Linked DNA regions of Styela clava. The protein of the gene in region 1 purifies or fractionates together with the protein of each later gene. This does not show direct contact. Links are inferred from orthologs where the notes say so. Each region holds a gene or a part of one and is shown in the gene's direction. Other genes may lie near its edges.

Evidence for each region.
Region 2: the proteins of RNA cytidine acetyltransferase-like (region 1) and protein AATF-like purify together in Homo sapiens (affinity purification with mass spectrometry; 3 studies listed by BioGRID and IntAct, with this or other methods). This does not show direct contact. The link is inferred for Styela clava from reciprocal best matches to the Homo sapiens genes NAT10 and AATF.
Region 3: the proteins of RNA cytidine acetyltransferase-like (region 1) and THUMP domain-containing protein 1-like purify together in Homo sapiens (co-immunoprecipitation; 3 studies listed by BioGRID and IntAct, counting the BioPlex papers as one, with this or other methods). This does not show direct contact. The link is inferred for Styela clava from reciprocal best matches to the Homo sapiens genes NAT10 and THUMPD1.

The regions. Positions count from the first base shown.
Region 1 is NC_135261.1:20,261,592-20,273,250, reverse strand, and holds the start of RNA cytidine acetyltransferase-like, read left to right. Parts: upstream 1-6,480; 5' UTR 6,481-8,220; coding exon 8,221-8,420; intron 8,421-8,974; coding exon 8,975-9,146; intron 9,147-9,217; coding exon 9,218-9,340; intron 9,341-11,659. UniProt on the Homo sapiens protein: RNA cytidine acetyltransferase that catalyzes the formation of N(4)-acetylcytidine (ac4C) modification on mRNAs, 18S rRNA and tRNAs.
Region 2 is NC_135257.1:13,445,852-13,457,149, reverse strand, and holds the start of protein AATF-like, read left to right. Parts: upstream 1-7,032; 5' UTR 7,033-7,086; coding exon 7,087-7,168; intron 7,169-8,237; coding exon 8,238-8,446; intron 8,447-9,010; coding exon 9,011-9,075; intron 9,076-9,170; coding exon 9,171-9,358; intron 9,359-9,988; coding exon 9,989-10,217; intron 10,218-10,610; coding exon 10,611-10,755; intron 10,756-10,857; coding exon 10,858-10,995; intron 10,996-11,298. Other genes in the region: protein Red-like, read left to right, coding at 4,827-6,413. UniProt on the Homo sapiens protein: Part of the small subunit (SSU) processome, first precursor of the small eukaryotic ribosomal subunit.
Region 3 is NC_135260.1:12,200,822-12,211,458, reverse strand, and holds THUMP domain-containing protein 1-like, read left to right. Parts: upstream 1-5,859; 5' UTR 5,860-6,412; coding exon 6,413-6,641; intron 6,642-6,894; coding exon 6,895-7,793; 3' UTR 7,794-8,164; downstream 8,165-10,637. Other genes in the region: uncharacterized protein LOC120347505, read left to right, coding at 8,221-8,394, 9,423-9,677. UniProt on the Homo sapiens protein: Functions as a tRNA-binding adapter to mediate NAT10-dependent tRNA acetylation modifying cytidine to N4-acetylcytidine (ac4C).

The DNA.
Region 1 (11,659 bases):
CTACTGCTTGAACATACGAGGTAAGGCTAAAAAGAAACGGGACTGACGTCACAAATTGCGCAACACGATTAACCATCGGTAATCAACACTTTTGCAGTGTTGCGTAATATGTGTTCTTTGTTTAACAGCTGTTTTGACACAATATTGCAATTATTTTTGCTTTTCAGGATCCATAAGTGAATGTGATAAATTTCTTTATCATGGGGTAAAATTTGGAGACAGTAGCCAACAAATGGATGGGAAATTGACGTGCAAATTTTGAAAAATTTTTGGGGTTCATCAAAGAGAACGCGGCAAGGTGTTCAGTGCGCAGACGATCGCCTATTTGATTCACCAGAATGTCACAGCATTCACTGGCAGACAAAATCAAACGCTGCGTTGTTTGCCCGCGGCGTAAAGAAGCACTCCATGTGTCGTCGTATTCTATTGTTTCCCGGATACGAGATACAGCATCGCAGAAGTCTGAAATACACGACTACACTACGCTCCATCCATTAGCCTTGACTGCAATGCGCCGTATAATACATCCACGTGATAGAATATTGTGGAGAAAAAAGCGAGAAAAAATGAAAACTCACCATCTTCTAGCAGACGCTTTAGACCTGCCGCCTCCCTCACAGAGCGTTCGTCCCAAACCGGAGAGCTCTGAATGCCATTGAAACACTCAATGAGCTCAGACCTAATTTCGGACACGCCCTGCACCACGCGTGATTGGAAGTTCCAACGTGTTGGTGCACAAGCTGGAAGAGGGCGGCTACATATCTGGCGAAGGAGGTAAGAGCGCTTCGGCGAAACGGAAAAAAATGAAGAAAACCCCGAAACATTTGCAAAAAATATACGGACGAGAGGGGTATCAAGACACATATTTTTAATAACGAGGTTAAATTGGTATGCATAACAATGTAAAAAATGCGCATGAGGAAAATCTTCTTTTATATAAACTTGAACACCATGTTTCGACCCACTCATGACTGCCGCGCCGTCATAAGTTTGAGCTATCAATTTTGACTTGGCGTTGTAAGGCTGTAACACTTCTTTCAGTACAGCCGATATCCCGCAAGCCGTGCGATCAACGATTGGTACAAAGCTGTGAAATCTCTCGGTAAGTTTACCATCTTTCACAAACCGAAAAATCACAGCCAGTTGGGAAACGCACGTGATGTCAGTTGTCTCGTCAGACTGAATCGAAAGGAACTGGCAATTCTCAATTTCTAGAGCCAAATGTTGTAAATAAATTTTATACATTGAGTCGAGCAAATCATTTTGGATATCCTTAGATGTCCCGTTCGAAACAGTTGCGGCATCAAGATGATCTTTCAATACTGTATCTAGGGATGCGGTGTATTCCACCATATCCAAAAATACCCCTCTATTAGAAGAGCCAGCCCGTTCATCGTGCCCACGGAGGGACAGCTCGTGACAACCAATGAACTTCAAAACATCTATCAATCGACCGAGAACATGGCGGTTTTTCTCGACGTTTTGGTTGTGCCGACGAATAGACACCGCGCGTCCTTCATCCAACTGTGCTGCAATATTAACATTTCCGAATGTTCGGTATTTTACTGTATTGTCCAGTTGCTCCATAGAAGATTGATGATCCCTGGCACGCTCGGAAAGATGTTTAAGATCTCTAAAACCAAATTTACACCAACGTGAGTCACGGGCGATAGCGAAAAGTAGGCAATAAAAACAAAAAAGTGCATTTTTGTCCTCGCTGTAACACAACCATTCGTGTTTTTTATACCAAGTTTCTGCGCAGAATGTACGCCGCCGCTTTCCTCCGTCATGGGATTGTTCCAGTGAACAATTTTTCGGTTGATAAGGCCCAAGACGTTGTACCTCTAATTTTTGTTCCAGCGGCAGCTGCGAAAACGGAGTGCGAAGTAGTGCATCAACCTTCTTCATTATGAGGTCTAAGGCTAAGAAATGCGAAGCCGGAAAGAAGTGAGGAGCTCAAAAGGAATGTGGAAAATCGAAAGCAAATGGACTAAGGGTCTCTAACTGATTCAAATAGCGAAACAAGCGACAAAAACGAAGGCGAGAAAACTATCAACTCTTCAAGCAACCAACGAACGAGAAGGAATGCGTGAATATGTCAACACGTTGTTGTAAGAAACGTCGGCATTGTGTCGTCATAATTTCGGGGCTAGCCCCGGTGATTTAGTAAAAGAAACAGAAAACAAACGAGACAAACGCGGCGAGTGGAAGATAAAAGAGAGAATACGATATACCATGAGCAACCGGGGCAAAATCGGCGTCGCCCAGTCGACGTTCTGCGAAGGCTTTGCGAGCGAAAAATGAACCATGTCGGGAGAATATGGCTAGTGTAGACAGTCTGTGCAACCGATATTGAGGTATTTTTCGAATATTTTTTATTATACCGAAAAAACAACCGGGGCATTGCCCCGGTTGGCCCTATTGCCCCCCGCCACTGCTAAATAGTGTGTAAAATAAATGGACAATGATAATATGAATTATTTTATACCAATACAGCGCGGTCGCGCGTCACAATTGGTTAAATGTAAATTGTGATTTAAAAATTAAATGTAAATTAAAACTCGTTTTAAATAACAATACTGTATCATAAAAATTTCCCTAAATACATTGGTTGTTTTAACCGCCACATCGTATACGAAAATTCCTGTGATAATATCGCACCAAAGATATGAGTGTTGTACCCATTGATCCACCCCATCTTGCAGAATTTTATGGATGATTCGACAAGCGTTGAGGCTTGTTTAATCAATTTTATTTATGTCACCAAAGAATAAAACGAAACAACAACAAACGGACAAACAATAAAAGGCAGAGGACCTGGAGGACGACTATAACTTAAGAACAAAGTTCAAAACGTACAAGTACATGCCCGTCCACCAAAATAGTCAGATAACACAATGAAAAACACGATACAGAATTGGGCAATAACTTTTAAATCAATTTAAGACATGCAAACATCGATCAAAAGAAGAACAAGTCAACACCTTGTAAGAACTAGAAAATTCAATAGATTTTTTGTGGTCGTGATTGTCATATGGTGCAATTTTTTAGTGAAGATAGGCTACATAATGACCATGTCCAGTAAAATGCAAAACAATGGAAACTTTAACAAACTGTACAGGTCGAAGCAATCCACGATTTCATTTCATGTCCAGTAAATTACAAAACAATAAAAACTTCAGCAAATGCGGGTCGAAACAATCCATAAGTCCACTTCATATCCAGGCAAATGCCAAAAAATAAAAACTTCAGCAAACTGTGCGGGTCGAAACAATCCATGAGTCCACTTCATATCCAGTAAATTACAAAACAATAAAAACTTCAGCAAACTGTGCGGGTCGAGACAACCCATGAGTCCACTTCATATCCAGACAAATGCAAAACTATGAAAACTTCAACAAACTGTTCGATTCGAAACGATGAACGAGTCGACTTCATGTCCAACAAAATCTTTGGCTCGAAGTAGACGTCCTCACCAGACGGCGGTCGGCCTCTTGTCCCTGCATTTTTCCCTCCCTCTACGGCTATCATGTTACTTAATAGTCATTGTTTTTGAATTGAACAGCAATCTGGAAAGCAGGAAAGCGCAGTGTAATGGACGAAGCAAAAACAATATATGAAATCCTGTTTTCGGTCAAAGTGTCAATACGGACCGCAACATATTGTAAAATATGGTGACCGTACATTTGAACCCACGTACGTTTGAAGTATGTACATTTGAACCCATGTGTATATCCGCGGGTTCAATCTATATGCGGGTGCTACAACCCATGGGTTAGGGTTGGTATGGGTTCAAATATCCGTAAAACAAAAAAAATTCCATAGGTGCAATGGTATGCAGGTGCAATTGTCGTGGGTTCAGATGTACGTGGTTCAAATGTACGTGGGTTTAAATGTACACGGGTTCAAATGTAATGGAACCTAAAATATTCTCAAGTTTTCATATACCCTCGCTGCAGAAAAATCATTTCTGGCAGGTTGAGTAGAATAATGATGATGGTTCCAATACACATGCTGTAGTTAATACTGGCTGTAATTTTTGTGATCAGTTCGTGGACCAAGTAGATGCATTTCCTGATCCATTCAGCTTTTACAGCTTTAGTCGTTGAAATGTTCAGAATTCTCGGCCGAGTGGCGAATCGTGCTAAGCGTTAGGAATACGCTCGCCACCGCACCGCTAATTATCCTTCGTTTGTTCGCAGGTTCGAATTATGTGCGAGAGAATTGCTGGACTCATCTTCGCTGTATAGAGCTGGTCGGTTACGACCGTTATGACTTTCTCCGCCATCAAGTCAAAGCTTCCGAAAAAAAAAAACTGGCTAACTAACCCCATACCCGATGGACTGGTAACCGGAGGAGAGGCCGTGGTTCGCCCTATGATTGCGCCGTATCATGGCCTTCCCTTCTCCCCCGGATGAATATATAAATCTTATCCTATTTGAATACCTGATTAACTTATCCCATACCCGTTATGAACTGGTAAACGGACGAGAGGAGTGATTTGCCATATGATTAGGCCGTCGTATCGGATTTACTTTCCCCCGAGATAAATTTGTAAATCCTATTCTATTTATATCGTCATATTGTATGGTCAAAATAATATTATGTTCAAATATATAAGGACTTCAACGTAATTTTAAGGCTAAAACGATCCTTCAAATTAGAGTTCGTATTTTAGTTCCAAGGAAACATTAGAACAGGTTATTTGAGAAGATTTAATCCATAGTTTCCTTCTTGTTTCGTGCTTCGGGAGAAACCCATCACTGTGAATTTTGCAGTCTACGCATTCGCTAGTGTTTGAAAGCACATTGGGCCAATTCTAATATAGTCTATATATGCCGACAGTATAACAAAGGGACTGGTTACATAATCAGGAAAGCAGAATACACCCACACAAAATATAAAATCTATATGATTTAAGACAAAAAATAGCCTGGTATGCGTTAATCCGTAATTAATAAACTGGAAAATATGATAGTAATATTGCTACAACAAATGCACGTCATCAACGGGAAATTCTAATTTGCGTTCGATTTCGGCAGGATCGATTATTGAAAAATTTGAGTCTCGCAAACGAAGTCTACTTAATGCAAGCGGTAAACGTCAAAAATCTTGAAAAAATATATGGAATCAAATTTGCCACAAAAATGTTTGCGTGATAACCCACCTTTGAAGCAAAACGACCTTTGAACCCGGCAATGAATTTGTTGTTGTTCTCTGCGCTTGAAGGCAAAGCATGTCTGGTGTCCACATGCAGACATGTGCGCATTTGTTCGTATGTTTTGGATAGGATTTACATATTTATCCCGGGGGAGTTTTGTTTACGCTTTAGCGCTAGGATGCAATTTTGCAATAGACTACCTCAATTCTGCAATTTGGTGTTTCTTATTCAATAAACAAAAATAGTATTTGAATGTATGTGTTAGGGATATACGGTATGTATGGTAGGCTACAGCCTACAGGTACATCTTGCAGTCTTGTTCAATTGAGTTTAATGTTGGGAATTGCGCATGGCAGCATGGTGTCGCAAACAACTTCTGAACTCGCTCGAGACATAGCCTGGAATCTTGTTTTTGCAGTGCCGAAATCGTTTCTCCATTCTAGTTTAGGTATTTTATTAGGTATTATTATCGTTTTTTACATTTTTGTTTGAACGTTTCAGTTAATACTAGGCCTAGGCCAGTCTGGATTTCATGGCCTTTTCGAACGAGAAATCGGGCGTGCAATCAGAAATTCCCGCGTGCAAATAAGAATTTCTGGCGTGCAATTAAAGCTCACGGCGTGCAAAACAACTTAGCCCGCTAAACTGATTTCGACCTAAGATACCTCTCAATACATCCGCGTAAAATTACCAGTATTGGATAAAAAATAGGTTGAATCATAGCAAAAATGGACGTTTGACCTATGACCCCCAAACATCATTTCTATATTTTGTCACTAATTTTGAGAGTGTTTGTGCGACTTTAGATACCGGTACTGTTCAGTACATTCGTGTAAAATTATTGTATTAAAAATACGCTGAATCAGAGCCATAACTGGCCAGCGTGAGGAGGCGATTTTTCTCACGGGATTCCTATCATTCAACACGATATGGTGTTTTTTGGTTCGCATTTTTCGATCAGGCCAAATCTTGCAAGCAAGTATTAGTCGACAATTGTAAAGTTGTAATTTTTTGGCATCTTTATATTACAGTATTACTAGATTATTGATTTAAAAACTATTTAAACCGATTTACATTGGTGAGCAATTGCAAATTTTCGGCGTGCAAAATTGAATTCGCTCGCGTGCATTTTTGTGGAGCGCTAGCGCCTTCGGGCGTGCATCTGCCATGGAATCCAGTCTGGGGCCTAGGGTGGTGTAGCCAGTCTGCGGACGATTTCATTCAAATCGTTGATTTTTTACCGCTGGTGCATTGGCATTTATTCTACACTCTAAACCTCGAATTAACTTTCTACGACCAGGGGTTAAAGCTATACAAACCACCGAAGTATTTGCGACCAAACGACCAGTGCTGCAGTCTGCGACCACGGATTTCAACCCTTGAACATCATTTCTGCTGCATCGAGATTAGGGCATACGCAGCCATGCGTAAAAAAAATTGGGCTTCTAATTACATTTTTGATCGTCTTATATTTCAAGAACACGGTTCTTTCGAACAAAACTCGTCAAATTATATACAAAGCACCGCATCACAGCAATCAAACAGACAAAAACACGGTGGTCGCAAATTGGTCAACAAAAATATTATCGACATATTGGAAATGCGCATCCCCCTATTCCCCCTCCTTTAAATGTAAAAACGCGAAAATTTAAAGATGGTTAAAAGAAACACAACTCTACCCCCTTGCCAAGTTTCATCTTCTTATCTCTTATATTTGTATGGATTTTTAAGTTTTTTTAATGGGACAATGGCGACATGAAAAAATGGTCCGTTTTTTTTTCCTCGGTTGGGTTTTCGGTCGTAACTTTTTTGTTTGTGGTCGCATTTTAGTGTAATTTCGCAGAGCTATGAGGGACAAGTGGATAATTACGTGTGAGAAATATCGTCGCGGTTCATTAATTTTTTCTGCATTAATTAGATCGATGAAGTTGATGGACGCAAATAGGTCGTGGCCGCAAAGTGGGTGGGCCACCCTACTGCTGTACTGTATGGTAATTACCACATTTATTTTTGATTCTCAAGCATAAAAAACAAACATGCATTCACACTTCGATTATATTTTCCCTGAATCTACAAATGATTTTTCCGCCTGCATGCGCATCAGCTATTTCCAAATTTCGGTATTTAGTGCAATGTTTTGTCCCCAATTAAATTTCACCCATCCGGATTACAAAGTTCTGAAGTGAGACGTGTGAGTAATGACTCACTGCTGCACTGTCTGTATTTTTTGTTTGGGTTGCGACTTGTTCTGCTTCTTCGGTGCGGTAACACGTCTATCCTGCTATCTGTATTGTCTTGTTTTTTTGCGAATGAATTAAAATGGATTCTATCTAGCCTATGCTATGCCTTATGAATACTTGAATATGGTCCACTTGCCATCGCGCACTAGTGTTCACCATGCATGGGTTCGAATTTCGTTGGGGATAAATATATTGGAGAATGGAGAGAAGATCGCTGGACTGGATGACTAGTAGTTCACATGATCGCGGGATAAATATGCTAATTCTCTCCTTCCTCAGTTCTTAATTCGAATCCAGTAAGGCACAGTTTTCCGATTCCAAAATACTCCGACATTTGGTATCAGTAAAACGAACACTCCATCTGTCTCTGAAACAAGGGCGTCAGGCATGACGGCAGATGTGTCAGATCGCGCCACGCTTGTTAAAATGAAAATTTGAATCAATCACGGTAAATTAATTATTTTTTTCAAGGAATCTAATGGTGTCGTTTCCAGATGCACTTCGTTAATGTGGGGATATTCTTGGAATCTGAGAATCTGTACTGTATTGTTGTATACTTTTCAACTTTTTTCATTAGGTTACCTGGCAAGCAAACTGCCATACACACCGTTATGCCAACTTTTTTTTTTCCAATTCAATATCTTTCCTGGCTTCATTATATACATGAAAATTTGCTCTCAAGTATTGGGTAGAAAGGTGATATTAGTACTGTGATACAAACACTTTTTATTTATTTTTTCTTAAATTAGTTTTCATTCAGACGAGTATCACAATTTATTTATTCTGTCATTACTAGCATTGCGATAAGAGTATACAAAGATGGTTCGTAAAAAGATTGACAACAGAATTCGAGTTCTAGTTGAAAATGGAGTCGCTCTGAAGCATCGAACAATGTTTGTAATTGTTGGTGATAAAGGAAGAGATCAGGTTGTTATTCTTCATCATATGTTAACAAAAGCTGCAGTAAGAGCAAGACCATCTGTTTTGTGGTGCTATAAAAAAGAGCTCGGATTCAGCACGTAAGTATGGTTTATTCGTGTAATTTAAATATTTATACTACTGTCATCAAATATATCTGTGCGATGATCTATACCAGAGGCGTGCAACATACTGCCAGGGGGTCGAGGTACGTCCAAGAGAACCTATTTACGTGACCAATAACAGACTTCGTATCCCATTATTTATGAATACTTTTTCTTATTTGTAACAGCACTATTAACATTTTTGAATTCGACACCAGTCAGTGTCCGAAATACTTCATCGTTCAATGCAATCAAGGTCTGGTTTGCCCGATTTGTCAAGCACCTTAGCAGTAATTAAAGAGTACAATAGTCAATATCATGTAACACTATTTTACAAAACACTCTTGTTAGTTACAGTACGAGTCGTCGATGATTTGGCAGTCTGTGTAGTATAAATAGTTGCATGCCATTGATATACTTAAATAAAAATATAAAGTTTATAGAGTATTTTCATCACTTCATACAAATTCTGTTAGCGAAAATATGTGGAGTAAAAAACTGAGTTATAACAGTATCAGGAGACTATATCTAATGAAGGAACCTTTTTGCAGAAATCGTAAGAAGCGCATGAGACATCTGCAGAAAAGAATTTCTCGTGGAACAATTGATGTGAATGAAGATGATCCTTTTGAATTGTTCGTTGCTGCTACTAATGTTCGATATTGTTATTACAATGAAACACACAAAATTCTTGGAAATACGTATGGGATGTGTATACTCCAGGTAACCTAAGCTGAGTAAAAGGTGAATATGCTGTTGTGTTACATGTTAATAATGATTTTCCATTATTATAGGATTTTGAAGCTCTCACACCAAATTTATTAGCGAGAACAATTGAAACAGTTGAAGGGGGAGGAATAATTTGTATATTGATGAGAACAATGAAATCTCTTAAACAGCTATACACAATGACGATGGTGAGTTTTATTTTTGCTTTTGTGTCCGACTAGAAAGAATATTGTATGAATAAATTGTGAAGCAGAGAAAAAAAATTTATGTGATTGATTGGGTTTCTGCGGGCCTAACTACTAAACGTTCTGTGCTTTTAACACCGGTATATTCATATGCATATAATGCAAAGATGCTATGAAAAAAGTGAGGATAACTATTCCCAGTGATTCAAGAGTCTTGCTGCACACTAACACAAATGTATTTCTGTAATGTTCAAGGTCAGACAAAACGTTACAGAAATAAAGTTGTGTCAGTTTGTAGCAAGACTCCACCGTTTCCCTGGGAGACTCTCCTTCAACTAAATTCCCTAATTAAAAAACAACTTATTATTAATATAAATGCTATTGCAAAATAACAGATCTGCACAAGTAGAGGTGTATGACAAATGGATGCAAAACAAATTGATTTCATTCAGGGGCACAGCCAGGATTTTTTCAAGGGGGGGGTTACGGTGAAATAAAAACGCGTTTATAGGTCTTTAAAAAGATGTTCCGACGATGGCAAAACAACATGTGCGTCGCTGTGTCTCATTAGCCTTTCTTTGCATGTCCTACTTTCAGCAATCGCCGACCATTCTCTTTGGTCAAAAAAAATCAATCAACTTTTCATTTCAATGCGCCGTTAACTATATTACTGAAAGTGAATTCGTCGCAAATTCAAATTCCTGTGATATTTGCACATAACGCTTCTCTACTTTTAGCGGCGATTTATCAACATATTATTACCAGTTTGTTAATAATGCATGCTATTACCGGTACTTTTGGCAACAGGGTTAAATTGGTTTATCGTTGTTTCAAGCAAGAAAATAAGCATTTGTTTTTTTCGCTTATTCAGCAATCGTAATTCAAATATTTCTCTATGCGAAAGAAAGTCTTCACTCCGCGGGGTGTCCTTGCGTTTTAGAGTTTCAAAGTGATGCCGAAAATGCCGATGATAGAGAAACACAGACACATGTGGCTATTTGTCGCCAGACCCTGCCCCCTTTGACAGGCGTCAATTCGTTTATTTTGTTTTGGCATGTCCCATTTCAACCTTTTAGTAATCGCCGATTATTACCCCATTGTCAACAGTTAAATAAAATGCCATCGTCATGATTTTAATTGAAATACCGCAAAAAATGTAAAATAAGAATAGAATGAAATATTAGCAATCATGAAACATTAAGAAATAGCATAAATTAATGATATTTGCCAAATGCCAATGGTTCATAAACTATTTTTGAGTGCGTCACGAAATATCAATCCATTTCCAAAATAAATATATTTGATGTTCCCGTATTTATAACTTCATAAAACGATTACAATCATTTAAAAACAAGCTCATGTATCGTACTGATTGGGAACGTCTTTCAATGTAAAACTCTTGCTTGTTGCAATTAACTGTTAATAAATTCTAATTTTTATTGCAATGCATCGAGACCTATATTACTGAAAGTGAAATCGTCGCGAATTTGAAATCCCGCGCCCGTGATAGCTGCATTCTGATCATAGCGCTTCTTCACTTTCAGCGATAATTTAACTATAATAATTTAATTATAATTTAATAACATATTGTTACCAGTTTATTGAAAAGATCTGGAAGACAACGCATGTAACTGCTTTTCGCAGACAGACGATTCCAAACGAGTCTTGGACGAGTTTGCTACCCAAAAATCTCGAAGATTGAACATTATTCTTTAAAAAAAAATTTCCCGAAGATTGAACATTATATTACGATACTTTTTACTCGAAGATTGAACATTATTTTGCAATGCTTTGTTTTCGAAGATTGAATATTATTTTATGACACCTTTTTTCGATGCTGCCACATTTGGCAATCCTTTGTTAATGAACCATACATTTCCAATAATTCATTTTGTCTGTTATTTGCTTATGATCCTGGTGCCATCGCTTGTTAAAGATGCACTACATAACTAAAATTCGTAATTAGCGATAAGCCGATAACCAACGATAATGTATGTGATTAAAAGTATGGTTGCGTTGAATGTGGCGAGGCGAGAGCGCGCTTGTGGAATAGTTTTGACGGCAATAGTGTGATACGTCCGTTGCTATTTGTGTCAAGTGAAAGGTAGTACATTTGTATTTAAAAATGTTTAGTGTAGATTGTCACTTCCGTGACCCCCCGCTGGCAGCTAGATCCACTGCCGCGTAACAGCGATAACGAATCGTAAACATAAATAATAAATTAGGACGCTGGGCGAAAGTGATAACGCGAAGAATAAAATTATTGCAAGTAAACGTAACACTATTAAAAAAAAAAAGATCCCAAAGGGGGGGGTTACGACC
Region 2 (11,298 bases), on another chromosome or scaffold:
TGCTTTTTGGTATTTTATACTTTCCGCAACTTATTCCAAGTTTAATGAACGTATAGTATATATGTATGTCCAAGAGAAAAAGATGTTTGATAAATTATCTAGGAAATTTATTTGAAATACCAAACCGTTTTTAAATATGTTACGTCTGCATTGTTTATAAAAGTTTGAATACACGCTATGTTTGGTATTATATATGGCCAAGTCAAAACGTGCTGCTACTGTTCTGACATAATAAAATCAAATCTATTAGGTATCTGCTTTACTCCGAATGTGTCGTAGTGCTGCCTTTATTGGCGGTTTTTGAGAAATCGCCCTTTTCAAAAACGATAATTTTTCGAAATTCCGAAAAGGATCCACAAGAGGGCGTCAAATCATTTTTTGGCATTTTAACATTTGCACACTAATTCCAAGTTTAATAAACGTACAGTTTTGTTGTATACCCAAGAGAAGAAAGTATTTGATGAATTTTCCAGTAAATTTAGTTGAAATACCAAACCGTTTTTAAATATGTCACATCTACATTTTTTCAATGAAATTAAAAATATACGCTATGTTTGGAATTATATTTGGCCAAGTCAAAACGTGCTGCTACTGTTCTGACATATTAAAATCGAATCTATAGGGTATCTGCTTTTCTTCGAATGTGTCGTAGTGCTGCCTTTATTGGCGGTTTTTGAGAAATTGCCCTTTCGAAAACGATAACTTTGTGAAATTTATCAAAGAATCCACAAGAGGGCGTAAATTTTTTTTCAGTATTTCAGACTTTACTCAACTTATTCTAAGTTTAATGAAGTGCATTATTGTTGTGTGACAAAGAGAAAAATATCTTCTTTGATGAACTATCCAGTAATTTTAATTGAAATACAAAATCAGTTTCAAATTTGTTATATATACATTGTTTTAAAAATTGAAGAATATACGCTATGTTTAGTATTATATATGGTCAAGTCAAAACGTGCTGAGACTGTTCTGACATATTGAAATCGAATCTTTGAGGTTTCTACTTTTCACCAATGGTGTTGCAATGCTGCCTTTATTGGAGGTTTTCATGAAACGACCATGTTACACGACGAAAATTCAGTCATTTTTAAACATCTCTCAAAGAATTATAAAAAAATTTTGTGCACTGTAACAGTCGCTTTAGCTTGTTTACCATATATTAACAATACGAGGAGTGTAGTTAATGATTGTTTTGCTTTAATTGCTATTGTGAAAATAATCAAAATATACACTTTCTTATAAAAATCATTGGGAACATTTAATTTTACGCGTGGGTATTTTCTGCGATTCTGTCAGTCACAATTTCGTGTTTTGCTGCTAGCTTCACAGAGGTGTATGGTATGCATATCTGCATGTTGTGATCACAATACTGCAGTCTGGCAACAGCAGCAGTTAATACTGTAATACCGGTACAGTAATATGAGACTACTGGGCTATGGTACATACTAATATCTGAATACAGTAAGTTATTGTAAGTCATTATTTACACTTAGTGTTACTAGAAAAATTAGGGTCTCATGTAGGGTGGTGTAGCCAATCTGCGGACGATTTCATTCAAACCGCTATAAAACAAAAACCAATATTTCTAACCCGTTAATTTTTTCACCGTAAGTGCATTGGCATTTATTCTACACGCTGAACTTCGAATTAACTTTCTACGACCAGGGGTTAAAGCTATACAAACCACCAAAGTACGACACTCTGAAGACGTATTTGCGACCGAACGACCAGTGTGCGATCACGGATTTCAAGCCTTGAACATCGTTTCTGCTGTGTCGAGACTGGGGCATACGCAGCCATGCGTGAAAAAATGGGCTTCTAATTGCATTTCTGACCGTTATATATTTTAAGAACACGGTTATTTCAAACAAAATTCTTCAAATTATAAACAAAGCACCGCATCACAACAATCAAACAGACAAAAACACGGTGGTCGCAAATTAGTTGACAAAGATATTATTGACGTATTGGAAATGCGCACCCCCCTACTCCCCCTCCTTTGAAGGTAGAAACGCGAAACTTTAAAGATGGTTGAAAGAAACACAACTCTACCCACCTGCCAAGTTTCATCTCTTTATCTCTTATATTTGTATGGATTTTCAAGCTTTTTTGAGGGAACAATGGGTAGTTGGCGACATGGTAAAATGGTCCGTTTTTTTTCTTCGGTCAGGTTTTCGGTCGTAACTTTTTTATTTGTGGCCGCATTTTAGTGTCTTTTCGCAGAGCTACGAGGGATAAGTGGACGATAACGTGTGAGAAATATCGTCGCGGTTCGTTAATTTTTTCGGCATTAATTTAATCGATGAAGTTGATGGTCGCAAAGTGGGTAAGCCACCCTACTTTCCTACCTAACGTACTTCTAGTAGGCGTAGCATAACAATTTTTTCACGTGTCAATCCTGAGGTGACTTCAGGACATATTTGATATTCCTAAACTTTTTCTCGTAAAATCTAACCTATCTATTCGATGATGCCCCAATAGCAAACTCTATTTCTGATTTAAACTAAATTCAGAAATTATTAACCAAATGCTGAAATGGCGTTATTTATTTTGAGTTATACAGATATCCTATTGGCAGATTGGTGAACTGTTTATCCGCCATTTAACATTGAGACATTTGATTCAATGATGTTACTTCAGGCCATAGGAGTGCAGTCGGTCATAATTAAAAAATGTTGCCCCTTCTCCACATTCATGGATATTCATTTTGTGCTGTCATATCATAAACATTGTGAAACTAATTGAGCAAATTTCAAACGGCATCAGGGATGGCCAATACCGAATAATTTACTATTTCGAATACATTCAAAATTATTATTTAAGTTTCGAATACTTCGAAAATAAATGCAAGCTTATCTTTATGGCGGAATTAGCATACAATAAACAATGGAATTACCGTTACCTACAAGCTGGCTACCAGAAAATTTATATCCGCCGATTGCCGTGATATTTTATAGTAGTATGCCCTTTTTATTTTCGTAAGTACGAGAGTGCGAATCAAAATTAATTATAATAGGGCAGTTTACCATTAGTTTTGTGTTTTTGATTGCTGTGGTATTTTGAAACATTTTATTCTTCGTAAGACGAGGCATTGATGAGTTAGGCTACATCGAACAAAAGTAAATTAATACGAAGGCATTTTAAATGCTGTTATCAGTCATGGATTTACGGTAAATACTTTGCACAACCGATAATTCCATACTTTTAACAATCATTATCAAAACTATTTGCCGAAAGTGGGTAAAGGTATAAATTATTTTTTTGTGAGTACGAAAGTGTGAATCAAAAATTAATTATAATCCAGCATTTTACCACACATTATATTTCTACAGATACCGCGTTATTTTAAAGTTGTAATGCTTTTGTATTTTGTAATTATAATCAAGCAGTTACCACACATTTTATGTTCACAGATGGTCGCCGTATCTTAGAGTAGTAATGCATTAATTTATTCGCGAGTCTGCAAAACTATGTGTTACGTTAAAAACAATTAAATTAATACAATAACAATAAGTCATTTTAAATGCTGTTGTCGGTCATGGATTTGAATATTTTGCAACATATAATCATCTTAGTTAAAAGTCCATACTTTCAACTATCATTATCAAAATTATTATTTTTCCGTGAGTACGAATTAATAAATCAAAGTTAATTCTAATCGGGCAGTCAACCACACATTTTATGTCCACAGATTGCCGTGGTATTTTGGAGTTGTATCAATATTTGTTTTTCGTAAGTACTGTAATAGGTTTAAAAAATTAATTATAATTGGCCAGTGCACCACACCATTCAATGCTGCAGATTGTCGGTAATACTTTTATTTTTTCGTTAGTTGACGCAACCACGAGTTAGGTTAATTATTAAACAAAATTAAATTAATACGACAAGGCATTTTAAATGCTGTTATTGTTCATGAATTTGAATATTTTGTCGCAACGGAAAATCATCATAATAAAAAGTCGATACTTTTGACTATCATTATCAAAATACGGTATTTGCCAAAAGTGTGAAAATGTTTAAAGGATTTTTTCCAATAAATCAACTCGTTTTTTAAGACATGAGACAATTTATTGGGTGTTGTAATTTGTAACAAAGTGCACGACTTTATTTAACTTATTTATTATCTGACTATTTGTATTTATGTGACTTCCTTGACTTAATACAAATGAATCCGTAAATTAGAAGCATTGCAAGGGGATGGCGATAGTGCCAATCTTGCGACCATGCAAATGTGTCGCAACAATAAGGGCGCACGCTCGCACAGAAGATAATGAACAATCAAAGTGTCGATACTATTTCACCACCATTGCATTACGCGACAAAGCGTGGAAATCGGCATATACAAGTTTAAGCCATCCATCTTCATTTAAACTGGAATCTCTTTCAGTTATAGGATAGGATAGAATTTACCTATTTATCCCGGGGGAGAGGAAAGCCGATAAGAAGGCTTATTCATATGGCGAACCACGGCCTCTCGTCCGGTTACCATTCCAAGTCGGGTATGGTATGGGATTAGTTATATTGTTTGTTTTCGGAAGCATGGACTTGGTGGTGGAGGAAGCCGTAACCGACCAGCGGTTACGTGAACCACCCAACGACGGCGAGAAGTCCAGCAATCCTCTCGCACATAACCATCCCTGCATGGGATTCGAACCTGCGAACCCACGCAGAGTAATTAGAGGTGCGGTGGCGAGCGTATTCCTAACGCTTAGCCCGTTGAGCCACAACGCCGCGCCGTTATGTCAGTGACAGTTCAATACTCAGCCATTCATTTTTTTTTTTATATTTTATAAATACTGTTGAACTAATTTTATCAATAAAGCATTATGGCAAATGAAGAATTTTCTAATCCTCTGCCCCCTGAGCATTATCATGAGACTGATGGCAATGTTAATGAACAACCTCTAACCAATGCAGACTTTCGAAAATTTTTGACGACCCCTAAAGCTGGTGGTGAAAAAACTCACGATGATCGAGCAAAACGAGTCTCAGCGTCCCAATCAGAATTTGATTCAGAAGATCATGAATCGGCTGCTGAAAAAAGAAGAAAAAAGAAAAGTTTGTATGCAAAACTTAAAAAGCAAGAAATGGAAAGGCAGGCTGAACTTCAAAAGAAATATAGAGATCGAGCAAAAGAGAGGAGAGAAGGTAAAGGAGATTATGCTGAATCTGATCTTATCAATACAACTGCTAATTACAAAACCGTTGGCCCAAGTGCTGAAGCGGACCGAACTTCCGCTGAGAAAAGAAGACAAGTCATCCAAGAATCAAAATATCTTGGAGGTGACATGGCTCATACTCACTTGGTAAAAGGTCTCGATTTCGCTCTTTTACAAAAGGTTCGAGCTGAGATATCGACAAAAGAACGAGAGGACGAAGAACTTGATAAAGTTTTATCTGAAGACATAGAAAACACGAAAGAAGAACAACAGCAGCAACAGAAAGAAGTGGTTACGTTCAAAACAAAAATGGCAAAAAACATACACAGACTTGTCTTCCAGCCTCAAATGAAACTAAGAAATGAATTGTTTTTGCCGGGACGAATGGCGTACGTTTTTCAAGTCGATGATGAGTTTGCAGACACAGATATTCCCACTACTCTGCTTCGTAGTAAAGCAGACTGCCCAACACTCGAGTCTCAAACAACATTATCAACTAACGATATTGTTATTAATAAACTGACTCAGATATTGTCATATTTACGTCAAGGTGCTCGCGAAAAGCATAGAAAGAAGAAAGATAGAAAGATAAAGACTGAAAATGATAGGCCACATAAAAGACCCATTGAAGCAGACATGGGCATATTTGATGATATTGGTGAATATGTTCCTACTCTAAAAAAGAACAGAAGCAAGCCTGCAAAAAATGCTCATTCTTATTTTGAGAAACCTAAAATGGAAGAAGAAATGGTTGAATCAAAACAAGCTGTTGCTGCTTCAGTGAAAAATTTTGTAAAAAATGTCAATGAAAAATATGCAGGGTCGTCACAACCAGACCAAACCAAAGAAACTAAAAAGCAAAAGAAAGAGTCTGGCAAAGGCAATCCACTCATTGGCACAGCGGGGGCATCTGACAGTTACATGGAATGCTATCCATCAGCGCAATACAATTTATCAGGCGTAGGAGACGATAGTGATGATGAAGCAGATTACAGTAAAATGGATCAAGGTAGTAAGAAAGGTCCAGTTGGAAGATGGGACTTTGATACTCAAGAAGAATATAGTAATTACATGTCTCAGAAAGAAGCAATGCCTAAAGCTGCCTTCCAGTATGGAATAAAAATGACAGGAGGTCGAAAAACAAGACGAACCAAGGAGCAGAATGAAAAACAAAAATTGAATCGCGAACTGATGCAAATCAATCAAATTATTGAAAAGCGAAAGGGTGGAGATTCGAATTATAAGAAATATTAACTATATATTATCAAGTTATAAGCATTACTTTGATCATAAAAAAATTCAAGGTTGAACTTGTGAGAATTACTGTATTTGCCAATGTTTTCATCATGTTGAATGTCTGTTTGTTAAAAGTGATATTCTCATATCATTATTTTGTAAATTGATTTGTGTATATATAAATGGATAGACAAGTATAGAATGTGTAATTTGTCGTAACCGTATTATTTTAATGAGTGCATATTTTGGAATTTTTGCCTTTGAATGGAGTTTCTTATATTTGATTATGATTGTGGTTTGTATCATTTAGTCACATCTTTGCCACAAACTGGTACTGTAGTTCAAATGGATGCTCTTCTGTAACTGATCTCATAATTCTGATATTTAGGTTTGAATTTTCTGAATGTTACAATAAAAAGTTGTTGAATTAATGATTGTGACGATAAAATCCAATAAAGTACTTACATACCCACTTTTCTCAAGAGTTTTTGTTCTTTTCTCCTAAAATTCATTAAAATGCATGGAGACTGCCACTATCTGAAATTTTACATTGGGCATTCATAAATGTTTGTTAATAATGTCAATCGAAGGGTATCGACCTTTATCAGTTTATTGAATGTTTGCTTTTTTTATTTAGAAAACCAAGTACAAAATCAAGTTTAAAGTATACATAACAATTTTAAATGTCATCATGACATCTTTAGCTGAACAACTTGCTAGGCTTTTCGATCCGAGTGTGAAGAGCATTGACCCAGAAGATGATATTTATGAAGGTACTTGTGATATAACACTCAATGCATTACTGTTCACTTTATGCACATTTTTTTGCTAAAACTGTGATGCACTTCTACAGTTGTGGTTGTGCTATGGCACCTAAAGACTTAAATAGACCTGACCATTTAGGGGTGTTTTTTGGCTTGCTACTGAGTTGCTGGGTACCTACATACTCATAATATTCTTTGACTGAACGCTATAACCCAGGGGGGCACAACCTGCAGCCGTACGGCCGCATGCGGCTTTCGCAGGTAAAATGTGCAGCTGTGCTGGTGTGTTACTGAAAAATAATTTATGTTTTATGTTGGCGCTTGAGTGTTACGAAAAATCATATCATTACTTGTGTCTGTAATGGAAATAAATTATCAGTATTATAAAAAAGTAACAGCTCTGAATATTCTTTCATATCTCTAAAGCGGGATATCGTTAACAGAGAAACGGTTCTTTAATTCCAGATGAAATTAGATTTTTTTGGCGTTTATGTAAAGAAGTTATTGTTCGAAACCTGATCGCGATGACGCCACTCGTTGAAAAAGTCAGCTTTACAAAAATGTAATGCCCCCGTCAAACGAGAAAAGGTTGTGCACCCCTGCTGTAACCAGTGACCCAGTATTATTATTATTACTCAAACATTGTTTGTGAATATTGTGGTTGGTATAAATTGAATTGTTTTCTCTTCAACTACTGAATCACTGTCACATTTCAATTATTCGGAGATTGAAACTTCTCCCTAAAAGGCTTTCAATTTTGTTTTGAAGATTTTTTTGGTTTAGAAAAATTGTATCCTTGATCATAGACTCCTTGTTCTTGAATTTCTTGAATTAAAATATATATAGATCATCTGTTTTGTTTGATATTTGCATTTCTACTTTATATAATGCAGTAATGCCAGAAACTAATAACTGTATGTGCTACCCAGTTTTGAAATGACTGTACTTTATGGGTTTAGCATATCTGACCGAAATGTTACTCCATGATTGAAGTGACGAACTAAGTAAAACGATATATTACGACTATCTATACCTAATGAAAATTGTTGTATTTTTACATGGTAGAATTTTTGTTTAGAAACCAGAGCTAAAGTTGTAGAGAAAGATGATTTGAATAGTGATGCTGAAGATGGAACAGTTATTCAACATGTTCCTGGAATTGGCCGAAGAAAAATGCAGTCGCTCGAAGGCATGGGAGAGCTATATAGGGGTAAAGTTGTATCAAGGAATCAAACATCAGATGGTGATGGAAGTGAGTCTGGCAATGAAGATAACATTGAACTGGAGGTAAATATTGTTGCTATCATGAAGTGCATTAAGGTATTTAGATTACATTTCCGTTTTATTCTGTATCGTCAAGAATAGTGAGAAAAATCATGTACGATAGTAGAATTCTTTTGTAATTCGAATATCATGACCTCCAAATATCGTTTTTAGTCTTTATGAGAATATCAAATATCTTTGCTGTCGAGGTGTTTTTGACTGAAAATATTTTCCAGTTAGTGCATATCATAGACGAGATAGTCTGTGCAAGTGTGCAGCCACAGCAAGAATTAGGATAAAAATTGCGCTATAATTGTTTTTCATCCTCTGTTTCGATCCTGTCCGAGTATAAGGAAAAAATTTTGCATTTCTTGAACTTCACTATGTCTAAAAAAGCATTTATTTATTTATTAGTATCTCTACCTGATTTTATCGTTATCCTCGTGTCATTGTTGATAATATAGTTTGGTAGTGTAGGTTGGCTGTATTTATTCATGTGCTAGGACAAAAGTTTATCATTTGTCAAGTTTGGGTGATGAAAAATGTCTTTTTTAGAATGTGTTTTATATAATTGCAATTTATTTATAGAATGGGAATGCTGAAGATGAAAATATTGACAGTGGAGATGATCAAACTGATGAAGATATTGAGAGGTATATTCTTTTACTTCTATTATGTTGTTTTCTATATCTATTGACATCCTGTATCCAAATTCTTGATTTGAATATGTTTTTCACTACTAATGCAGAGAAATGAATGGTGATACTAGCTATAATAGTGAAGTTGGAGACATTATGCTAGATGAAGATGATGGAATGGATGAAGAAATTGATTCTGATGAAGCCGATGGAGATGGCGATGACAGTTTAAAAATATTTCAAAATAGGAAAAAGGCTGATCCATTATTAAAATCGAGAGCTACTAGAAATCAATTTTGTGAGATTACTTACGTTTCTTTTATTAATTAAAATTTGTTAGTTTTATCTGCCAATCTGGTTAATTCTAATATTCATCTAATGTTGGACAATATTTTTGATGGGAATGACAAATTGATTGGATTATGTAATTGTTTGGTCATACTTATATCATTAGAGCGAAGCCCTATGATGGCTAGAGTTTTGGGCTCAACTATATTGGCATTAAAGATCCATGGTTCGAACCTATGATCACCACCTCACTCAGGGTGTAATAAGGTGAATGATTGAGGTCCTTAAGAAAAAAGCAGCTGTTTACATATTGGTGTAATAGAGACTTGTATAGAGCTTTGTTTAAAGTGAAAGACGTCATATAACGAAAACGATACCTGAATGTATTGTACAATACTTATCTACGGTATATTCGCTAAAATTTCATTTGCTGCACAATGTAGTAGGGCCATAACTTTTCTGTTTGCTTACCTCACATTTTGTATAAGAGCACACTTTTTACTGTTAGTTCAAAGTTATCGATGCTCTTTGTCGAGGATAAACATAAACAAATGATAGATGTGAACAGACAGATATTGACTATTTGACTTTGCGAATAAATTCAATTTGTTTTTTTGAGAATTTTTTTTATATTTTTTAGGTTTGTGGGAAAATATGCTTGAAGCTCGAATCAAATTTCAGAAGATACTTACAATATCTAACAGATTACCTCAATATGATAAGATGGAACTATTTAAAACTGAATTACCAGCTTCTCTTTCATCTGCGGATAAAATTTTGTCTAATCTTTTATACAAATTGTTAGAATTAGAAAGGAGACTTCTCACTCAAAATCCTGAAACTCAGTCAATAGCAGATTCTAAAATCAGGTATGTTTATTGTCAAAAACCCTAAATTGAATACATTCATGGTACCTAAATCTCAGTGATACGTTAGCTTTAGTATGTGAAATTGTTAGTTTTTTTCAATAGTATTAAATAATGAATTTTATTGAAGTATCTCCAAGTTTATCGTCATCAAAATCTGAAGTTTTTGCACTGGTATATTGAAATTTTAATCGTCTGGATCTGCTGTTGCAGCAGTAACATTATGCGATCATATTGCTCTATTTATTTTATAATGCTTGGGACTTGAATGACACTACAAAATCACAGTGCACATTGAAGAGATATATCTTGTGTAATGTTCCCATTGACTGACACACATCAATAGAAATGTTGTGGGTAGTCATCTCTAAATTTATTGTTATTTTTTATGCATAGTAATAACAAGCGGAAAAGTACAACGTCGATGGAAGAGGTGAATGATATGATCCAAGACAGATTTACTTCATATAAAACTCATAGGAATAAAGTACTGAAGTTGTGGTATGATAAAACAAGATTAACAGCGACATCAAAATCAAAGGTATACATACGTAAATCAGTATTCGTCATATTTGTAGAGTTAAGAATATCATAATGTTTTACTTTACCTCTTTCATAACAATTATGACTCTTTATATTTCAGTCATTCTCAAATTTTGAACGGTCGACAGTTTCTCAGATAGAAGATATATTACAAGACCGTGAAAGATTAATCAAGCGGACACAATTGAAAAGAACGAACTATCGTATACTGGGAACGACTCAGTCTAATAAACTAGAGGTCTGTGAAATATTGTGGTTTAGTATGTTAAATTTTTGGTCCAGAATTTGGTTTGAGATGTTGGTATAAGGAGTTATGTGTGAAAGGATTCCTAAGCTGGTTACGTCTTGACTCCTTCAGCATCCGTATCCATCAATCTCGAATAATTACGGGTAACTCAGCTATTTCCAAAGCTGATCTGGACTGGTGATTGGGCATTAATCTTTTTTGGTTCGCAACATGGATATGCTGTCTTATTGAATTTCTACCTTGGAATAAAAATGGAAAGTCCTAATAAATATAATTCACAATATATTTGTTTTT
Region 3 (10,637 bases), on another chromosome or scaffold:
CTGAGCCAGCATATTATCAACAGCTTCTTCGGCTATCTTCCTACGCTCCCACCCCATTCGACGAGGAGCCTGCCGAATCGGCTGTGGTGTGGTTGTGATGATCCTATGCTTTGCTGCTGAAGTACGGCCAAGTTCACCATCTGGTCCTACAAATACATCATGAAATTCACAAACCAAATTGACCAACTGTTCACGTTGACTCGGGGTTAGATCCTCAACGGAATTGACCATGTCATGTAGATGTTCTGGTAATTCAGAAGCTATAACCCGATTATCGGATTCGTCAACTTGAATTTGTGCTACAAGTTGAGGATGTGCAATACCAATCAAAGATCCAGCCCTGATCTTAAGTTGTCTGCCTTTCTGGTTGACTGCAAGAATTGGAACAGTGGACTTTCCAGGATCCACCACAGAAGAGATCAGCTGAACGCCATCAGCAAGGAAAGAAGAATTCAACGGTTCGACAAGAGCTGCAACGTCAGACACAATGCTTTTCGGCCATGGGCGACTAAGTCGTGCAGGGATAACAACCTTAGAATATGGCGGTATAGTAATATCTTCTCGAACAGTTACACGACAACACGGTACAGACTTTTCAGTAAACAGTTTGATTTCATGACCCTCTATCATCATGTGTCCAGATGATAAGTAAAGAACACAGTCATGTTCTCGGAGATAATCCATGCCTAAAATACCATTAGTCGTGCCTAAGTTGGCAACAATCACAGTGCGTCGTGATACAAACGAATCAATCGATAAATCAACCTCCAATGTACCCAGTGGTGATAAATCATGTCCTCCCACTGCAACAAGAGATTCTTCGAGCGGTGCTAATTGTGCTCCTTTCCCACCTATAGCCTCAAAGATGGAAATGTCGATCAGAGTAGTCATAGCACCACTATCTACAAGAAAATTGAACGGTTGATTGTTTACAAGTACCTTCGCATGCCAACTATTGTCATATTGCAAGGAACAAATATTCAGGTCTATATTCTGGTTCGTTGGTCCGTCATCAAGTAATAATTCAGCGGACACTGAGGACCTCAAGCCCGCTGAGTGTCGTTTAAATTTGCGGTCGAAGAGGAAGCAGCTGTTGCAGGATCAGCGGGATTCTGAAGATGTGGACAATCCCGTTTAAGATGACCAGTCTGCTTGCAATTAAAACATGCCTTGCAATCCCTGCCCCAATGACCATGTTTACCACATCGAGGACACGGGTTGCGTGGTACACCATCAAAATTGCGATTGATGTTAGCGCGTGGCTTAACATATCCTATGATCTCATCCAGTTTTGCTACAAGTCGCTCAAAACTGCTCTCGAGAAACTGAAAAAGGTCGGTTTGCTGATTAGCTGCATCACCAGTGTTACTCTGTTTCACTGCGGCAATGCGAGGTTTAGGCATGTCTCTTCTCTCAGAGTGGTTAGTATCAACAGAGTAATACAGCGTTGCAAGAGACAGTGCACTTTCAAAAGTATCAGGCTGTTGCATGGTAACATGTTTGATCATGCTTTCATCGGTTAAACCGGCGAGAAACTGCGATTTCAAAATATCATCTTGACCAGCAATATCAAGATTTGGGTAAGCAAGAATAACAAGCTCTTTCAATTTGTTACCATAATCCCGTGGCGCTTCATTTGGCTTAATCCTACGACAATGAAATGTAGTACGATATGAGCTCGCATTTCCGGCAGGTTTGAAATAATGATTAAAATGAGCCACAATATCACTATAGCTAGTACGTTTCATATCTGGTAAATCTTTCAACACATTTAGAGCTTGACCTGTCATGCAAGTAGCCAATTCTAATCCTGCAGTGTCGTCATCCCACTGATTATAACTGGTAACCAATTCAAAATGGCATAAATAACTGGGCCACGTCATGACAGTGGATCCATCGAAATACATTGGCTTTTTGGCATTTCTCGCCATCATCGTAGCATTAGCTGTGCTATTGAGAACACTACGGCTAACATTGGCATTTGAGACACTACTAGCGCTCACTGGAGGAGCTGATTGTGTAGCCACTGTAACCATTTTCGGCCTAGTACTAAGTTGCCTTCTGACATTTGTGCCCTCATTACCATTATCATTCAAAAAAGGAATTGTAGGTGCAAGGTTACTCACATGACCATTCTCCAAAAATTTCACTTCTAATGTCTGTGAGAACGCGTTCCGCTTCACTTCTGGCTGTCCATCTTCTGATCCAAAATCAGAAATTTCATCATGCTTGAGAACAGGCGCTGCTTTTGGAACAACCGTTGCGGGTGTTGAAGTGATCAAGCTGACATCTGGGACATGTGACATGGGCTGCGTTTCTTCAGAATCAGCAACTTTTCCTGTTTTAACCACGCCAGAAATATCTTGCAGCATGTTGTAAACATGTTCAAAAGATGAGCCAATTTTCGCATTCTGGAGTTCAACTGATTCTAGTTGACTTCCAATCTGTTGCACACGACTGTCTATCAGTTGCAAACGGCTGTCAGTCTCCTCTTGCTTTTCCTCTGACTCCCTCAATTTCGCCTTCAATACCTGTATTTGCAGATGCAAAAGTTCATTCTCCTCTTTGGCTTCCTTTGGTGCCGGTACAATCTTTCTTCTCTTAACCATTTTTTCAAAATATCAGGCAACCGCAATTGAAAAAAAATTCGGCAACCTCAAATGTCCAAATATTATCCGTCACAGACTAGCCTACCTAATCGGCTTAGTCTTAATAGTCCCTGTGTCAAATAATATATCCTGGCGTGTGCTCGCCAAAAATTCGTATATGTGGCGTACCAAAATTGATATCACCACTCAGGTTCTTTCTGCCAGCTTCTTGGACACTGAAGTTGCAATAGATGTCGATCACAAAATAATCTTCTTGCGGTTCCAACCACAGCAGAGTAAGAAGAGTAGAAGTTAACTAACTAGATTAATTATACACCTGTAAGAACTTAATACAACCAAATACTCCAATCAGAAATACAATAAACAAATAAAAACATGAAAAACACAGTACAAATACCGTAGGATACATACGTAACACAAGATACGGAATTAGTCTATGACGTCACAGTCATGAACTATTTACTTATAATGGGATACCAAAAACCGGGTAAAACATACCTAGATATACATAAGAATAACTAGTATGACACTAAAAATACAACACAAATCCTATCTTATCGACAAACACGTAATAGACATGGAAATACGCATAGAAATACGGAAATCACACAGGAAATAAACTGCGAAAGTAGACTAGTTACGGAAGTGGTAAATACAAGCCAACTAGTGAACAGAGCTATGTCAAACTAGAGAAATAGTAAACCTGTACTACTAATATCATTTTACAACAAGAATTACATAGATTTACGGCATTGAACACTATAATAATAATCTAATATATAGAGGAATATCTACACTGCCGGCAGTCTGACAAACCAGCTACAAGAGAAAGTTACACAGTTGTTCACTAGTGACTCAAGTGGTAAGAATAAATATGAGCGAACAGAATAAAACAGGGTTATAGACGTGGTCGTCTCACATGGGAACACGGATTTTAGTCAGTGTCATGACTGGCTGTACGTTTTGATTCTGCAAAATTCTTGCTACTGGAAATTCAGAACTTTTTTGAGGGTACCGGTAGCGTCAAAGGTACGGGTAAGGACTGATTCGCTCTGGTCTGACGTGTCCATATATTTGTGCGTAGCTCTCTTGTATTAAAATCATTTTTAAAATTCAGGCCAGTTCTTCTTTCCGGGCTAGGTCTTATTTCCGGAAAAAGACGATAGGGCTTTTTGAACTATCTGTCATTTTCAACGACTGGGTCTTTTTCAATTCATTCGTTTTCAAATTTAATGCGTCTTTCAGAATTTAACAGGTTTAAAATGCTTTAAAACTAAATTAGTTTTTTTTTTTTATAAACACGTTACCTATGGACCTTTCCCCGACCTTTGACCCCCGAAAAATTCTTCCTATACTTTACCATTGCAAAATTTTCAGGGATATTTTAAGAGTGCTCTTGCGAGTTGGCGCCTGTAAAATGGGGTATGTGTTTCAAACCATCATTATGATTCATCGCATACAACAATCTGTGTTTTAAAAGTACCGGTAAAGAATTTCATGCTAGTCTATCACAGCTATTTCTACACTAATTTTTATTACTGCAATTAAATTTAAACTCCTAGGAAGACAGAGTGATCATTGAATTATCTGATTTTTATTTCAGTTTCCGAAACACAACTGAAAACTAACGAATAGAGTTCAAAAACGCGAAAACGAGGTAATGTTTACAACCACGTTTGAAAATCTGTCTGAGTGAGAAAAGTGTCTGAGCGGATGCGTAAAGGGGGCATTGTTACGTCATTTTTTGTATCTTGCTGATTGGCCAATGTCACGAAGTAAACAAGGAAGTCGCTGCTCGGGGAAAGGTCCATTCTTGTTTCAAACAAAACAAAATTCTTTCAAATTTGAAAAACTATGCCATTCAACTGGCAATAAATTAACATTTGAATTGATAATTACACTGTTTTTATCATTACGCTAATTTACGTCGCCTTTATGCTTTGATAGAGGTAAGAAAATAATACTAAATACATTAATTTATCTACAGGAAAATTATATATATGCTATATCTTTTACTATCCAAGGGTCTTTTTTTATTGGGAACCTGATGATCTTAAGGACTGGAATGATACATTTCATGCTCATGTTAGGACCCGTATGGATGTTTTCCCAACCTTTGACCCCCGGACAGTTTTTCCCAGACCCAAAGCGTATATATAATACCAAACCCATGGTAAACTATGCTTTACCGTTGCAAAAAATTTTGTGCCCATTTATTAAGAGTGATTTCGCGAGTTGGCGCCTATAAACTGGTTCAGCCTATACTGCTATATCCTATATATATGTTTGTTTCAAACTATCATTTTGATTCAAAACATTCATACAGTTCATGTTCATGTACGTTTATATTACAGTAAAATATTTTTAGTTCTGTTAGTGCGGTCTGACCAGAGCCGTTATATGATGGCTCTGGTCTGAAGTGACGACTGGCGGTACCGGAGTCTCATGTAGTTTCAAACAGCTATTTCTTTCGTTTTCTCGTCGCAACGATCAAAATTGGAGAGAGATCAATGACGTTAGTGTTTAGTCGGGTGACCGTACATTTGAACCCACGTACATTTAAAAGGGGGCTCCCGAAGTATGCGAACCAAGATGGCGGACATCGGAATGTAATATGTGTACTAGGTTAGGGTTAGGCCATAATTTTAGGTATAAATACTACGGGAGGCTCTTGGCTAGTCTTCGAACTGATAATAGGACTAAAATAAGGAAAATTGGAAAAAAATTATCGCCTAACCCTAACCTGTTACCCATGTTACGTTCCGATGTCCGCCATCTTGGTTCGCATACTTCGGGAGCACCTTTAAAAGTATATATTTACGTTTGAACCCATCTGTATATGGGGGGGGGGGGTTCAATCTATATGCGGGTGCTAAAACCCATGGGTTAGGGTTTCCGGTAGTATGCGTTCAAATACCCGTAAAACAAAAAAAAATTCCATGAGTACAGTACGCAGGTGCAATTGTCGTGGGTTCAAATGTAATGGAACCGTTTAGTAGTCAGTTCTTTATTGTCGGGGCGATGCCAAGCTCTATGACGTGATTGTGATGTCGTAGTGACGTAATTTTTGGCGTAGTCAGATGGGGGTTAGGATTGACATATCAAAAAGTTGTTATGCTACGCCCACTAGAAGTATGTTGAGTACGAAACTACACGAGACCCCGCTACCATCTCGCAGTCTCAGTATCTTGTGTTTATACGGTATTGCAGTATTGTTTTCATTATGTACTGTCAGACTGTTGTACCGTATGTTGCCTATTATTCTATTGGGGGCAAATGGGCATGGTAAAGTTCATGTAGATTGTAGTCTATCTGTTATTTATTTGCATTTATCAATCATTTTATCGCCTACCAGCCTATGGTTTTTTGCTTATTATGGTGTCGAAATAAACTTAAATAACTGCCATGGATCCCTAAACAAGTAGGCTACCGTACCGGTATTGTAACTGGGCATGAGCTGCGTGAGTTTGTACACCGTGGGATGCCATATGATTAAGCCAAGCCGTCTGAGCATCTTTATTCTCCATTGCGGAAGATATGAAAATCTCATCCCAAGAGCCAAACTTCTTTGTTCCGATTACAGCTCCTTCTTTATGTTTTCCTGTCTTTGTGCTGTTGTGCCTACTTTCTGACTTTGTTTATGTTCTGGTGTTGTCTTTATTATCTTGTTCTGTGCTTTTGTATTATATGTATTTTGGTCAATTCCTGTTAGATCACCGATTAACAAACTTTACACAAATCGTTTTGACTCTGGCATTGGCAATTTTTTCCATAATCCAGGTAAGAGTGTAAACTTTGGTAAGATGTCTGAAAAACGCAAGTTTGCTGTCAATAAGTCGATACGAAAGGGGAAAAAAGCAAAATATTGTGGTGGTGGGGGATATTCAAAACTTGAGGCAGGAATGAAAGGAGTTCTCATATCACATGATCGTAATAAAGAGAAGTTTTGCAGACTCGATTCTTTTAGATTGCTGAATCATTTCGCGGACAAGTATTTTGGACCTGAAAAGTTGAACAAGGAGAGTGAAAATGGTAAATCAAAATTTGAATAAGTAACAAAATATGAATATAAACTTGGCTTTTAGTAAGTTTTACAATGTTGTAGAAATATGCTATAGTTTTTATACTACATTCAATCTGGCAATTGTATTGTTACTTGCATGCCCATGTATCTGAGCGGTAATTTAATTCTAATACCTTATTATGTGTCATATATTGTTATCAAAACTTGAAGAAAACCTAGTTCTAGAATTGTAGTGTTTGTTTATGAAATTGTTTCATTTAGCAGATGATGGTGCTGAAAGCAAATCGGAAGATGAAGATATTGCCAGCATTTTATCTAATGAAGTGAATGAGATTAAATCCATTGCTAAAGGAAACTCTTCGGAACAAAGGCGTTTTACAGCAGTCAAAAGTGGATGTAATAACCTGATTTTTATTCGATTTCATAAAGATATTAGTCCTGGACCTTTTCTGAGTAGAGTTGTGAAAACAATTCATCAAAACGATAACAACGCTGACAACAGTTTACCTGCAATAAGGAACGTATTGAGGATGCATCCAATAGACTTTTCCTGTTCTGCATATCTTGAAAGTATGTGTAAGAATATCCCTACCTTCCTAGAAAATAAGTTTAAGGATGAAAGTTTCCAAGATGTTATGAAAAAAGAATTTACTATTGAGTATAAGTGTCGAAATAATAGTCACTTATCTCGCAAGGAAGTTCTTGATGGACTTTATGAAAAAATGCGGGATTCGGAATGTGGTTGGAAATATAACTGCAGATCTCAAACAGTGTCAGTTATTATTGACGTTCTGAAGACTGTATGTTTGGTTTCTGTTGTAAAAAATTATTATTTTTACAAAAAGTATAATATTAGGGAACTACTGTGTTCTAATGTGATATCAAAAATTCACGGAAAAGAAGAACCTACTACTTCTGTGGAATCCAGTGTAACTGCTGATGATATAAGTCATAAAGCGAATGGGGATGGAAACAAGAAATGTATGTCGATCAAAAATGACCTTGTCGAATTAGTTGGGCAAAATGATTTAATTGTAAAAAATCCATCATGTGCTGTTCATGAAGAAGAAAAAGTTGAATCAGAAATTGAAAAATCTAACTTGCAGCCAAGTGTAGAACAAGTCAATATTACTAATGAAAATAACAAACTCCCACAATGACCTATTCGACATTTGAAACATTTTTTTATTTTTGAAATAATATTGCTCAGATAACTGTTTCAATTTTTTGTGGTCAATGCAAGCGCTGGCAGAAAAAGGCTAGGTCGAATGGGAGTACTTGGAATCTTGATTAACTTTGCGAAAATTTTCGATTTGCTTTGTCTTAAACATATTTCATGTATTACCATTAATTAATACTTATCCTTTACCTACCACTGTAGTTTGTTGAGTTTATTTCACTTACAAATACTTTCTTTTGTGAGAAATTGCTCTCAAAACAGAAGCAATGTTTATAATATACTTTGCTTATCATTACAGTACAGATCATGATGAGAGAATAAGTCTTGTTTTAACTTCTCTTTTTGATCCAGTTCTTTTACTTCTGAATATTTATATGCTTATGAATTTAATTCTGTAATGTCGAAAGATGGATGAATGGAAAGTTTTGTGTAGTGATGATGAAAATGCTGGGAACAATGAATTTTATGAACCTTCTGATCCATCCGTTATGATCAATCTTTATGAAGCTATACTGAAAGGGGAGATTCCTAGATTTGATGCTTCTATTTATAACAGAGCAAAACCAGATTCTGAAACTTCGGTAAGTTGAGTATGTGTAACCAGGTTAATGTTGAATTTTTTAGTTATCCCTAGTATATTGTATTTAAAAATATTGATGAGACTGTATTCACCTTACTATAAAATTGTTTTCATCCGACACCGACAACAACGGAAAGCATGGACCAATCAAATTTGTCTTATTTATCCTGGGGCGAGGAAAGCTGATAGTGTGGCTTAATCATATGGCAAACCACAGACTTTTTTCCAGTTATCAGTCCATGTTGGCTGGGGAATGGTTAGCCAGTTATATTTCAAATGAAAAAATTGTTCAAATTTTGTTTTAAAAGTTATCTTATGCAATAAAATATTATTCAGGACTACATATATTCACTTTGCAGAGCATTGTATTTCATATCATTGTATGCAAAGCTGCGGAGTCCGAAGTGTTTTCACTGGAGTCAACGCCGGTGTTGTATTTTCTAACTAGTAACTACCAAGGGTCAGGATGGCTATTACCGATTTTCAATGATAATAAAATAAGTCAAACTCAAAATTATGCACAAAATTACCAAACGTTCTTAACATCTGTTGAAAAGCCTTGCAAACGCAAAAGTTTTTGATATCGAAATTTGATTTTCTTCCGAGTTGAGAGCTACAGTCAAATTCTAAATTTTTACAACCCAGAGTCGAGCCTAAAATTCATTTTAACCCAGAGTCTGGAGTCGACCGTACATTTTCTCCTCCTACTGAAGGTTGATGATTACGTCCTACTGCCAAAGCGGTATGAATGTGTTTGCCATCAGTCCAACACACAGTGTGAGAGGATTGATGGATTGCTCGCTGTTGCAGGATGGTTTATGTAACAGCTAATCACCCATTAAAGTCCATGCATCTGATACAGGTGAACTTCTCTACCTGTCTTGGACTGGCAAGTGGATAAGAGGCGATGGTGTAATATATGATCAGATCGTTTCACCGGAATTCCTCTCCAAGATGAATATATGATCCTATTTCTACTTATGTCATTTTTCATCAGTAAACACTGATTCATCCTTTTTGTTTTAACAGCAATCAGCAAAATTGTCTCCTGAAACTACTGAAACATTGGAAAAAACTCCAGAAAAAGTACCATCTGAGGTAACTGAGTTTGACTTTGATACTCAACCTGAAGATAATGTTAAGAAATTTACACCACGACGTACTCCCAACCGACCTGTTACCAAAAAAGTTGGTAAAATGTCCAATGTGTTTTCTGACATCATGAAATATAAGAAAATGGATGAAAAACAATGTAAGGGAGAAAGGGAACCACAAGCTAACTGAAGACCCATTGCTTGCATGGATTTTCTAATGAGATCTAACACTAGGAAAAAACACATGGAATGCGACGAAGTCCCATTGCTGGTTCCAAAGCCAGGGCTGGAACCATACACAAGAGGACACACAGACTGGCTTTTTTGCTTGCTTCCTTTTAAATATTGTGTTGCAGGAGTAACAATGTTTGCAACACTATCTCGTGCACCGGTTCTCAACCAGTGGGCCACAAATCTCTTAAAAATTGTTGGACTTATTAATAAATTAGCCAAATTTGATTGTATTAGAAATGAACGATAATTCAGGTTTTTTTTTTTTTTGCTATCAAATATTAATTTCCATTTTAATTATTAAAGTGGGAGTGTTTATCTTTGCAGAAAGAATTATTTGATTTTCTTGCAATTGAAAGTTAATGGGCCACAGAATTTTTTTGTGCAACGAAAGTGGGCCAAGGAAGAAAAAAGGTTGAGAACCACTGATCTAGTGTAAACCAATAACAAAGATTGAAAATATCGTCAATTTGAAGACTTCATCTTTTTTTTGTTTTTCAGAAATTCATTTCTATATTTATTGAAAATAAAGAAATATTCAGTAGTTTTATTAATTAGTGGATTTTTATCATTGGCTCATTTCTATACATGAAAATCATCAAGTACGTTGTCAGGAGATATTTTACGATAATTCATTAATAAAAGGGTTTCATTGAAGACCAAAACGAATTTACCAGTATCAAATACCCCTCAAGATTTCGGAAGAAATATCAGATCTAGTGAGATTATTGATCGTTTTGTTGTGATTTAGTTCTTGTTTATTTTCTTCTTAGTATTTTTCTTGCTATGAAAAAATCACTTCTCTCATTATGAGTCCTAAACTAGTTAACTACTGGACCAATAGCTTTTAGGTTTTCAGTGTTTAATGATTGTATTTTTCGCTAGCAGGCTATTACTTTTATTTATTTTAAAAAGTCCG